Oryzias latipes: one gene and its partner. Each later gene encodes a partner of the first gene's protein in a complex. Links are inferred from orthologs where the notes say so. Each region holds a gene or a part of one and is shown on either strand. Other genes may lie near its edges.

Region 1 (6,044 bases):
CTCATCTCATTAGAAGCAATAAATACATTCTCCTTTTTTTTCTTTTCTTGTCATGTCCATGCCATTATTAGCAAACCGCTGACAGGCTGCAATGTTATTTTTAGAGAGCGGTGACTTTCTTAATCGCAGTTCTGCCCTGCTGTATTGCTGTTCCCTTAATGGCCCTGTTCACATTGTCGACTCTTGCTTAAAAAAAAAAAAGTTGGTTTTGTGACTTTGAATACTCCCATTGTCCTTCTGCAAGTACAAATGTTTGACTCATTTATTTAAAAAAAGTCAGTTAAAATCAATTTAGTGCTAATTGACATTTGCCGCAAGTTTTAGTGATTGTGTTTTTTCTATTAGAGATTTTTTAACCATGTCCGCCCAAATGAAGAGTTTTTCTTCTGACAAACTCTCAAAATCCCTTTCAATGTGATTCCTGTGCTCTGAAAATAAAGCTATACCCACGCATTGCAGAGTGGTGGTTAATGAAATTTCCTAACTGCTCAGTAGAAAGTGCAGTACCGCTGTGCAGCCTTCTTTCACACACACCCATTTGTTATCATTATGTTTTATAGACCAGCTTACCTTCACTGTAATCCTCATCATGATCCCTTAACTGTTCCGTGCTGTGCATTTGTGTGGCTAACCCCCTGGTTCCCAAATGAGGCTTTTTATTTGCAAAAACTTGAGAAACTGCAAACTCAGAAGCCATCTCGACTCGCTGAAAGAGACAAACAGCTGACCAAAATGTAACTGATAAAATAAATCCTGACCAATAAATACTTTTCTAACCTTCTTCCAGAGATCATTTCCACCATTCTTGTCAGGTTTCTGCTTTTAGAAGAACAAATATTTAAGGTGAAAGCTGCTTCCATTGCAAAGAAAGCGTAAAGCTCTCAAAGTAATATAGGTCGTATGGTCACTTTTGCCTGTTGGAAAATCCCCAGACTAGTTTAGTGACACCTTGAGCTGTGGAAACAGTTTTGAAAGGGGGGTGTCTGAGCCAAGAGCCTGATATCTGCAGATTTTTTCCACAGAAAAGCTTAGCTATTGCCTTAAATCCACAGATTACCTCAGAATCATTTCCCAGACTTCAAAAAGTCATTGCTCACCAGCAGCGATTCGGCTATCTTAGTCTCATACTGCAGGGGTGTACAGCTGCAAGCACAAGAGTATCAAAGAAAGAACTGTGTGTGCGGTTTAATCTACTGACATAAGCTATACTTCCATATGCTGCGTGAAAAATCTGACTCTCCTTCATTTAAATATGCAATTTCAGCATGCAACTACAATTTCGTTTATATTTTTTATCTTTTATCGCTGCTGAAAGATCTGGGAGGTTAAAGAGGGCTGAGAAAGGATTTAAGATTTTCAATTTAGATAGAATTTATCTGACCACCTATCATTTATTTTGAGAAGCATTAGGTGACTTTTTTTAATTGCTTTTTTTCAGTAGAAAGAAATGATTACAGACAGTCGATTCTTTCGATTGACCAATTTAACAGCAGTCCAAACTTACCTTGGTTGCAGAACTAAGCCTTTTCCACCTGAACAGGTGAGGATTGTTGCCAGAGAACGCCATCACAAGTTCTACACCTGTAGATCTAAAACTCCCTAAACCTCATATGTATTACCTTTTTTTTTAGTTTGGTCAGTAAAAAGACACATTTAATCAAAAGGACTGTCTATTTCTTAAGTGGAAAGTGTTCGAAAGTTATGCCGAAGTACAGAGAGCTCAAGTCAACACCATCTAATAACACAGGACTATGGGTAATGTAGTAGATTAACAGTTTTTCTTGGTGAAAAGTATCAAATAAGGAAAAAAAAACTACATGTCCCACAAAAGCCGTACGTTTGAAAGGTGATCAGTAACCATGACAACCCCATTCCCTTCTGCAAACTTGACGACAGTCTTCTAATTCGTGACATTTTGTTCTTTTTGTTAAGGTATCTGTTAAATAAGAAGAAACCCCACGCATTTTTTGAATTTTGACATTTTAAGTAAAAGAAAAAGTAGAAGCCCGGACTGTGAAAGTTTTTGTCAGTCGTCGCTCGTGATGACGACATATTTAAGCGACTTGTAGTTCATATCCTGCACAAGTTTTTAGCTAAAGGAACAACAACAAAAAAACAACAACGATTATCTTGTTTAGTAAATGCAACGTTTAATACCTTAAAAAGGCAAATTTATAAGTCGTTGCAAAACGTTTGACCTCAGGGGATAAAACTACTTTAAACAGCAAAAGATTTGTTAGCACTGTAGCACGTGAGTACAAATGCTAGTTTAGCTAGCCACGCTGCTAGCCCCCACGTTCATTGAGACTAAGCCGAATGTTTTGTCGAACTGCAAGGTGATGAAGCTGGAGCTTTCCCGTGTGATACAAGGAGGCGCTCGTTTGGGTGTTCTGCAGGGAATCGGGAGGACTGGTCAGCACTCTCTTAAGGTCCCGGGATGTTTGCTGTACACACACTTTGGCACCGTCCCGCACCTCACTCAGGACACGCTACAAACTGTCAACAACCTCCCTTCTGTCACCCAGGTCACTTTGTCTAACATGTAAGAGAAACCCATGCTCATGAAAACCTATTTGCACTCCAAAAAAATTTGATCGTTGTCTGACTCCTTCATTTTTTTAAAGATTATTTTTGCTATTTAAATTCAATATCCTTAAATATAATAAAAACAAACAGAGAACTGGGGGAAAACTTTGATAAATATAGACAAGAAAATCTAATTACTGGAAAATGTTGGCATGGCACTGAAAGCTTTATTGGTGAAATAACTTCAGAGTTCTTGACTTATTTCTGGAGTATTCCATACTAAAGAGACAGCAAAGAGGAAATCCCCTTGTAACGGAGTTAGAAAAATCCAAACACTACATTTGGAGTACTGCCTGTTTTTTGGATCTAATAACTTTGTAGGATGGTTGCGACACAAAAGATGTGTAAAAAAACAATAAAAGCAACTAAGTTTGAGCTTTTAGATCCCTACACTTTTAAAGAAATCAAAATATTGACTTAGTCCCATCCATTTTTAAACTATTCAATTCCTGAAGTGCATGTAAACCTGTCAAATCCTATTGGTTCAGCAAAAAGTCTTATTGCCTGGCTGAGCCTGTTTTAACCTGCATCTCCATCACGTGTCTCACCAGAGCAGAGCACCAAGAGGTGCTGGAGGAGTTTAAGGAAGGATTCAAGGCGTTTGCAGGTACTAGCCATGATTAGTTTCTTCACTTGACTTGACTTGACTTCACTTCACTTTTCTTCACTCCATTTTAACAATATTTATCTGACTGACCGTACATGAAAATGAAAGACAAACAATATTTAATAGACATAAAGAGATGCCTTGTTTAAAAAAAAATAACTATTTCTACCTCTGTGGGGCTGACATGCATTTGTTAAGAATAAATTTATACCATGTAAACAATAACAAAATACTTTTTTTGAAAATCTACTTTGATATAAACTTTTTAATAACGTGATCTTGCTCTTTTTATTTCAAATAATATGTGGTGTTTTGAATTGTATAGTTATTTTTTCCCCCCAAAAGTGTGTTTGTTAGTCTGGTTAAGTGATGTGCATACAATGGGTTTTAAAATTGGTGGCATCTTACTTTCTTTTTGCTAATTTTATTGAACTCTTATCTGTCTTTTATGTATTTTATTGCCTTTTTTTCTATTGTTTTTTTTTTATTTTTGTTCTTTATCTGCTCAATTTAAATATTCTTTTAATTTTTTTTATTGCAAATCTCATTTTTACACTGGTGGAATTCTAAAGACCTATAGAAGTAAAGTTTCATTCATATCCGTATATGTTTCCATTTTTTTAAGCAAAGAATGTTTTAAATCGCAAAATGATGCAACAACAGGTTTTAGGAGCAGTTTATTTACAGCAGAAATACAAGTTTTTCCTAGTTGTATTTATTTGCATTTATTTAAATAATCATCGGGGCTGTTAAATCTTTGTCTCTAGACCTCAGAGGTTGAAATTTACTATACATTTTATTATGAAAACACAACCTGTCCCATACATGAGGAATGAAATTTAAACGTACAATGTTTTTGACTGAACATTAAAAAGTTTTTAAAGCTTTACATGAAAATGCTATCAACATTGTCATCATGTCTGAGGACCAGTTTTCTGTGTTTACTCATAGAAAAGCAGCACTTCTCTTCTATTTTTATTTTGTCTTCACCCGCCACACGTACTTTTTCCATGTTGTGACCATAATGTACTGATTCTCTTGTCAGGGCTCCACAATACAGTACTTTACTGCTCACTGCATGACCCTGCAACACGCAGCCCGACGGGTTACGCCACCAACAAGGTGAGCTGCAGCTCCCCCTGACGTGTTTGCCTTTGCACACACATCCTCTCTCACTCGGCTGTAGTTTCAAGCACAGTTAATGCGAAAATATACAAAAAGAAATCCTGATCTCAGTTTTGAACAACAATGTTTTATTTGTTGTGACACTCCATGGCAGCATGTCTCCTAACTTGATATTTCTGCTGTCTCACACAGACGGTGTCCGTGTGGGGCAGTGGTGGGCGGATAGAGCTGACAGCGTCCAAGTTCATGGCTCTCCTGAAGACGGTGAAGCCCGACTGGTATCAGAGCATGGCAGATGGAGAGACCTGGCAGACCAACACTTCTCGAAAAAGGATCCGGAAGTCTGTGGATCGAACTTTGGCTTACTTGGATGAATGCCTGTTGGTGCACCAGAAATCCCAGGTACACACATTCACTAAATGCGTACATCCTTGAGCAGTCCTCCTTTTGAGATCCATACTGAGTAATGTCTGGGTGCTGACACAGCCACTTTATTCAGACTAGCATGAATATGTTAGTGGATAAAGACGCAGGAACAAGCCTCAGTAATGAAAAGGATGCTTTTCTTCCTTTATAGATTGTCTAGTCAGCCTTTTTGTCGTCACGTTTGGTATACATTCTGAAACATTTTTTTTTCTTCGTTTTTTATCACCACTCTGTCTGCCTCGTTCCAGGACCTGGATGGAGTTGAGTTGTTTGGGGTGGTGGAGGGAGGAGACGTCATGGAAGAAAGAGTCCGCTCAGCCAGGGAGACGGCGAAGAGGCCTGTGGCAGGATTCTGCTTGGATGGGCTCCAAACAGGCTCTGTGGACCAGGCTCTGAGGACGCAGCTTATCACTTCTATGACCACGGAGCTGCCTGAGGACAAACCAAGGTTTGCTCGCTTCAGCATCGGTGTGGAAAAACACAACGTTTTTTTAATTAAAGTGATTTTTTTTCCTGAAAAAGAAATTTAAATATTTAACAAAAAACAGATGAAAAGATGTGGATCGAAACTCTGAGTGATTCGGTTCCTTTTTTTTGGTAGAAGTAAAAGTAAAAAAGATGTTTGTGAACAAAAAAAAAAAGAAAGAAAAACATGATTTGCTCTAAAGACAAGAAAACTCAAACAAACATGTTGTTCCATCAGTTGTTTCCATAATTCACTTCCTGATTAGATTTCTTAGTTTTTTTTTAGTCATAATTAAAGTCAAAGTCATAATTAGTAAGGTTAAAATGACAAATATTTCTCTGGTAAATACATCCAATGATAATGACTGAGCATTAGGGCCAACATGGAAAAAAAATGCATAAATATGTGAGAATAAAGTTGTATTATTTTAAGAGAAGAGTCAAAATATTACGAGAATGGTTTTACAATAAAAAAAATACTATTTGTGAGAATAAAGTTGTAAATGTGGGGCTCCAAAAGTTGTAATTTTACAAATAGAAAGGCTTGCTTTTTCTAAATGAAATTAATTACATTTAACTTTTAAAATGTTTTGACAAAGATAATTGCACATTACCTGTTCAATTTATGTTACAGACAATTCAGAGAAATTGGATGAACGTCACACTGGTCAGGAATTATAACCTACTTTACTTAGTTTCTCAATGTACAAATTTGTTGTCATGAAACAACTTTGTTTTCGAAAAAGCGTTCTTTAAAACATACATTTATGATGGTTTTCTTGCAAAAATTGGACAACTTTTTTCTAAGAATTGTATAACTATTCTTGTTAAAATT
Region 2 (5,900 bases), on another chromosome or scaffold:
CAAGATTGCCATGTGGGTTGGGTTAAACTGTGGAGGTGGTTCAATGGGTTAAAAACCTGCTAAACAAGAATTTTTGGTGCGAGCTTGTTTTTGTTTCTTTATCTACACACAGAGTGATGTGGGAGAGGACACAAAAGACTGACTTGTGGGGTATGATAAAGCTGAACTGTTAAAAGCTCTGAAACATCAAGATGCCAAACTTTAGGGAATGACCAGGGGGATGCCAAAACCAATTTCCTTAAAATTCTAAACTAGACAACAAAAAAAAAAAAAAAAAGAGGAAGATAATATAGGAACTTCTTACTGGCACAGCCCCAAAATCAGGAAGAAATTCTAATCATTTTTTTAAAGAAACACTGTGCTGTAAATGAAAGAAGAAATAGTTTAAAATGCAAAAATACACACCCAACGGGAGGACAAAAAAAAAAAAATCACCAAACCTGTATAATCCACCATTCTGGAGTTGAATAATCAGTGCAAAACTTTAGTCTTAATTTCTTTTCCTTGTTTAGTCCGATTGCCATTTGTGTTTCAAGGTGTGCAAATGTTTTTATTGTACATTTTTAAATTATTCACTAAAAATGACTGACCATAAACATCTAAGTAGGTCAATAGTTCAACTCAAAATACTCATCACTGTGTCCTTTCCCTATACGCTAGTTACAGAGGTGGGCACTGAGGGCCGCAGTCCTGCATGTTTTCCAGCATACCCTGCTCTGGCATGTTCTAATTGGCTGGACACACCTGAACCAGGTAATCAGCCATGAGTAGGGCAAGAGTATCTGGAAATCATGCAGACACACCGGCCCTCGAGGCCTGGAATTGCCCACCCCCGCCTAGTACTTAGTTTGAAAGTCCACATATAAAACTGGAAATATCAGATTGTGTGATTAGACTTAAGTCAGTTATCAGTTGTGAGGATCAGTGAATGAATCAAGATTAGTGTAGATTTCAACCTTGATATCTATGAGATCACTACTGTTTCAATAATGTCCCCATTATTGTTCATCTAATTCTATAACAAAAAAATCAACAGACTAGTGTCTATTTAACCAAGATTTACCTAAGACCAACATCCCCAATAATGAAAAAAAAAATGAAGAAACTAAACTCCACCAAAAGGATGTAAGGTACTGGTTTTTCTTTGCAGTAGCAGCACTTTGAGGTCAGGTTTTGTAGTACAAACAGGAGCATTCAACCAATACACATCGAGTGCTGTAAGTTTTAGTGGTTACAAGGGAGGGAAATATAATTTTGAACTTTTAGGTTGTCCTATCAGTTTGCCTCAGCAAGCAATGCCAGCGCCCAGGTGGCTTTGAACCCAAGCCTCAAGGGGTTAAACTGATTGTACTAGCCTGTCACCTAAAACTTGTCGCAAAGTTGAGGGTTTTTGGACTATCAGTAAAATCGACGACGTGTACTATGTACGTGACTTAATGTTGACTTTACTGCTGGGGCAATTTAGTTTCGGCATAAAAAAGGCGTGTCCACATACGTCAAACGTATTCAAATATACATTTATATCTGGTAAAAATCCATCAAAAAGTAGTTCTTATTGATAGGGAAAAATACAAGTGTACTCTTGCCTACCTGCCAACAAAATTCTCCAAGACGGAGCTTTTTCCAGCGCTCTGTCCACCAACAACAGCAATCTGAGGAAGATCTAAATTACAACTCTGACCAATCGAACTAAAGGCGTCTTGAAGCTTGTTGATGAGGGGAATTAAATCTTCCATTCCCCGGTTCCCCATGGCTTCGTTAGCTCTGAGAGCGCCTTCAATTCAACGTAAACCGGAGGCTAACGATAACCACGCTAACTAGCTAGGTAACGTTAGCTTAGCAGAAGCTACTATCTGTCGGGTTGCTGCTCTCAAATGTTGAGTTCCGCTTGTTCAAATGGTTCAGCCGCTAATTTTCGTCGTTCAAACTCGGGTCGTCTGCCTTTAATGTCGTTCACGCCAACATAATGCCGTGCTCTTGACGTGCATTAAATAAAATCTTAGTCAATCAAAGCGCACAGAGAACTCGCAAAACAAAACTTCCTCTCCCCAAACGCCATCCGGTCAGCATAGACGACATCCGATCGAAACCGGTAACTAAAGCCACGCCTCTTTTTTCTTTTCTTTTTTTCCTCCTGTTAAACTCGGTCGCCTATTGGCTGCTTTTGAAGCTTTCAGGTGTGGCGGGGGTGTGGGTCCTCCCAATAATGTAGTCCCGATCTGTGATTGGTCAATTTGTGTGTCACTTGTTTTTGCTCCAGGTCACATGTTCAATGAAAGATGGCTGCCACGGTGGAACGTGTAATAGTTTCAAGCAATCCAGAAAACAGCATGTCTTTGCAGAAAGCGTTGTCTGCAGCTTCTCCCCTCACTCTGCGAATTGTCGCGGAATGTCCGGTGACTAAAGCCAGAGCTTGTGATCTGACCCTGCCGCACTGCACCGTCAATACTCCGGTTTTCATGCCGGTCGGAACACAGGGGACCCTGAAGGGGATCACTGTGGATCAGCTGGAGAGCCTTGGATGTCAGATTTGTCTGGGAAACACATACCACCTTGGTATGCGACCTGTAGGTAACCCAGTTAAATTGACTAGGCTTTAACTCGCTATGGAGGAGAATGATAATTCATGTTTTCTCTTGACAGGGGCCTGATTTGATCGTAAAAGCCAAGGGTTTGCATGGTTTTATGAACTGGAAGAGGAATCTTTTAACCGTGAGTGTTTATTTACTTCCCTGAATAGATTGCAAATTATTTATGGACACTTTTTTTTATAATGTTTGTGCTCTTCTTGTAGGATAGTGGAGGGTTTCAGATGGTATCTCTTGTTGAGCTCTCTGAAGTCACAGAGGAGGGGGTCAATTTTAAATCTCCTTATGATGGCAAAGAAATTTTACTAAGTCCTGAAAAATCCATCAGCATACAGAACAGTCTAGGTCAGTAAATTACCTCAAAAGTATTTTAAAGTATTCCTCCGTGTTGCTTATTGATGTTTGTTTTTGTGTCTTTTCCCAGGCTCTGACATCATGATGCAGCTGGATGACGTGGTCAGCAGTACCGTGAAGGGGCCCCGGGTGGAAGAGGCCATGCACAGATCCATACGATGGCTGGATCGCTGCATTGCAGCCAACAAAAACCCTGACAAACAAAACCTCTTTGCAATCATCCAGGGCGGACTGGATGCAGAGCTGCGGAAAGCCTGTCTAAAAGGTAACAACCAAGCCTTCAGCTTTAATTAGGACAACTTGGTAGGAGGAGAAACTCCGTTACAGCTTATGAAATTTGGGTCAATTAATGCACAAATTCTCCAAAAATAAACATATCTACTTGTGAATTCCTTATAAATGTTTTGGTTGTTGTACCAAATTAGCAGAAGGCATTAACATTTAATATGACCAACAATTTCTTTTATTTATTTACAGACTGAACTTCTGTCTGTTTTGTTGTTGGCTATCAAGTGTTGTAACTTTAACTTAGATTGTATTTCTTTTAGTTTTTTATGTATTTATTTATTTTTAGAAACATACACCTTAAGGTTCTCTATTTGGTCTCTGTTTGCTACTTTTTTTTTAATAAAAGCCTAAATGTGTCATTTATATGGGCTAAACTGGCTAAAGCTAAGGGTCTGTCCTTCTTCCTGTGCTTTCACTTAACTCAAAAAATATTTTAATATAATTAATCATATTTAACCCATAATGCCTTTCATCTAAATCTAAAATGCTCGATTTGATATTCCAGATTTTATGTTCATACCTGGGATTACTACAGAGAAAGTAACTTATAATGCAGATGTGTATGTAGCACATTGTAGTTCTAAGACAGTAAAATTGTAATGTGAATAGCATTAATAATATTTAGATATGTCAATATTTACATATTGAGCAGCGATACTTGTTTTTTTCTATAATTGTGGGTTTAGTTGTGTCTGAGGTGTTTTTCTGCTGATGTGAAGTTTCTCTTTCTTACTTCTTTCTAGAAATGACTCAGCGGGACGTTTCGGGTTTTGCTATTGGAGGTTTAAGTGGAGGAGAGGAGAAGAACGACTTCTGGCGAATGGTTACTCTGAGCACTGACCACCTCCCACAAGAGAAGCCTCGCTACCTCATGGGCGTTGGGTACGTTTCTTTGTACAAACTAACATTTATTACAAATGAGTGGCTTTGGTGCCATTAAATCACAGTTTGTGATGTCTGCATGTGTTGCAGGTATGCTGTAGACCTGGTTGTATGTGTGGCTTTGGGGTGTGATATGTTTGACTGCGTGTTTCCGACCCGCACTGCAGTAAGTGCTCTGCCTCCTGTGCTAAAAGACAAATTAAAAAATATATATATTTGTATATTTATATATTCCTTGCCTGTTTCTATCAGAGGTTTGGCTCTGCTTTAGTGCCATGGGGATCTCTTCAAGTGAAACAAAAGCAGTATGCTAAAGACTTCCTGCCTATAGACCCAGACTGCCACTGTCCCACATGCAAGAGGTAAAGGAGGAAGTCATCTTTACTTTAAAGAGTTGTTTGTTCCCTCAGCTCCTCAGGTTCATAGATTAAACTCGTTTTGAACTAATGCAATTGTTTTGTGGCATAAAATTAAATTTCAGGATTGGAAATTGTGGTAAAAGTATTTGCAAACCAACAAAGCAAATGTACAGCTTTACTTTGTCCGTTTTCACATACCTTGCAGTATGCAAGGTTACAGTGTATTGCAATCTTTCATAAGTAATCATTACACTATTATTGTTCAGTAAACCGATAGAAGCGGCATGTTTCATGCTAAATGGGAAGAAAACCTTTTCTTTTTTCGTTGCAGGCATAGCCGGGCTTACCTGCATGCTTTATTTAAGAGTGACACTGCAGCCATGCATCACGTCACCGTCCACAACATCGCCTACCAGGTAAGTGATGGCAAACATCTAATAAAACTTGCAAAATTATTCAAGTTTTGTTTAGTTTGATCATTTCAGTATTTTTCACTCTTTGGAAATCCACCATAGCCACTTTTTTATGTTTCAAAGTTTAATTTCTGTGTTAAAAGTTTAACAACAGAGTCTAAGTTCTATTCAAACACAAACTTAACTTTGTGTTTTATTGGTTACATAAATGTAGAGTTCTGCTCTAATTAAACATTGCTTTCTCTGAACAGTTAACGTGCTGTTTTGACGTTTAAAAAAATCCATAAAAAGCCCCACCTTTACATGTTATGATGTGCCTTTGTCTGCCATTACATTGCTTTAGTGTTTTTCCAATATAAAAGTGTTACATAAAACCTTAAGTTTCAATGTACATTAGTGTGCTGGGAGAGATCGTCAGGTGTGCTGTGGGAAATTATTCCATTTTCCCTTAATTGGCCTAAAAGGGTTTACTATTACCAGGATAGCAGCTCTGTGTTTATCCAAACCGCCCAGGTTTCACACTGAGTAGGTAGAAATATTAAAGATTGTGTTTATTTGATTCTTATTCAAGACACCTTAAGAGAGACCAAATCTCTTTTTAATTTCTACTTTTTTGTTTGGTTGGTGGTGTGCCTTGTTAATATCATCAAAGAAAAAATGTACCTCGGCTCCAGGTTAAAAACACTGACATGTCACAAGCTGACTTTTGTTTCTGTTTGCTGCCCTAAACTCTCAAACATCTGTCTTTGCAGCTCTCCCTGATGCGCTCTGTAAGACAGAGTATTGTAGAAGGCCGTTTTCCTGAGTTTATAAGGACCTTCATGAAGCGGATGTTTCCTTCTCGGGATGATTACCCCGGCTGGGCTGTGGACGCTTTGGCTTCTGTAAACGTCACTTTGGACTAGAACCTCGAAAGCATTTGTTTGTTTTCTTAATGAAAAAAAAAGACAAAAAAGAATATATTTTATATATTTTTAAGAATCCTTTTTGTACTAATGAGTTTTTTTTTTTTTTTG

Evidence for each region.
Region 2: the proteins of qtrt2 (region 1) and qtrt1 are in contact, whole or in part, in a crystal structure (PDB 7OVS), measured with the Mus musculus proteins. The link is inferred for Oryzias latipes from reciprocal best matches to the Homo sapiens genes QTRT2 and QTRT1. Residues at the interface, in NP_001343258.1 of Mus musculus: Arg39, Thr40, Gly41, Ser42, Ala43, Pro44, His45, Leu46, Thr47, His48, Gln49, Thr50, Asn53, Glu70, His71, Glu73, Val74, Glu77, Tyr78, Phe85, Ile86, Gly87, Phe119, Gln342, Glu343, Phe345, Tyr355, Asn359, His360, Ala363; in NP_068688.2 of Mus musculus: Thr50, Thr53, Met54, Lys55, Gly56, Ile57, Thr58, Thr59, Glu60, Gln61, Ser64, Arg80, Pro81, Leu85, Lys88, Ala89, Phe95, Met96, Asn97, Ala307, Lys308, Phe310, Pro320, Thr324, His325, Ala328, Phe329, Ala332, Leu333, His335.

What each region holds. Positions count from the first base shown.
Region 1 is NC_019878.2:17,734,674-17,740,717, forward strand, and holds the start of qtrt2 (queuine tRNA-ribosyltransferase accessory subunit 2), read left to right. Parts: upstream 1-2,049; 5' UTR 2,050-2,251; intron 2,252-2,336; 5' UTR 2,337-2,339; coding exon 2,340-2,542; intron 2,543-3,137; coding exon 3,138-3,193; intron 3,194-4,238; coding exon 4,239-4,315; intron 4,316-4,510; coding exon 4,511-4,720; intron 4,721-4,992; coding exon 4,993-5,192; intron 5,193-6,044. Other genes in the region: ccdc191 (coiled-coil domain-containing protein 191), read right to left, coding at 571-706, 778-819, 1,505-1,567. UniProt on the Homo sapiens protein: Non-catalytic subunit of the queuine tRNA-ribosyltransferase (TGT) that catalyzes the base-exchange of a guanine (G) residue with queuine (Q) at position 34 (anticodon wobble position) in tRNAs with GU(N) anticodons (tRNA-Asp, -Asn, -His and -Tyr), resulting in the hypermodified nucleoside queuosine (7-(((4,5-cis-dihydroxy-2-cyclopenten-1-yl)amino)methyl)-7-deazaguanosine).
Region 2 is NC_019866.2:9,401,090-9,406,989, forward strand, and holds the start of qtrt1 (queuine tRNA-ribosyltransferase catalytic subunit 1), read left to right. Parts: upstream 1-2,245; 5' UTR 2,246-2,279; coding exon 2,280-2,567; intron 2,568-2,643; coding exon 2,644-2,712; intron 2,713-2,794; coding exon 2,795-2,933; intron 2,934-3,012; coding exon 3,013-3,207; intron 3,208-3,973; coding exon 3,974-4,112; intron 4,113-4,202; coding exon 4,203-4,278; intron 4,279-4,364; coding exon 4,365-4,474; intron 4,475-4,802; coding exon 4,803-4,887; intron 4,888-5,636; coding exon 5,637-5,789; 3' UTR 5,790-5,900. Other genes in the region: dynamin-2, read right to left, coding at 1,591-1,751.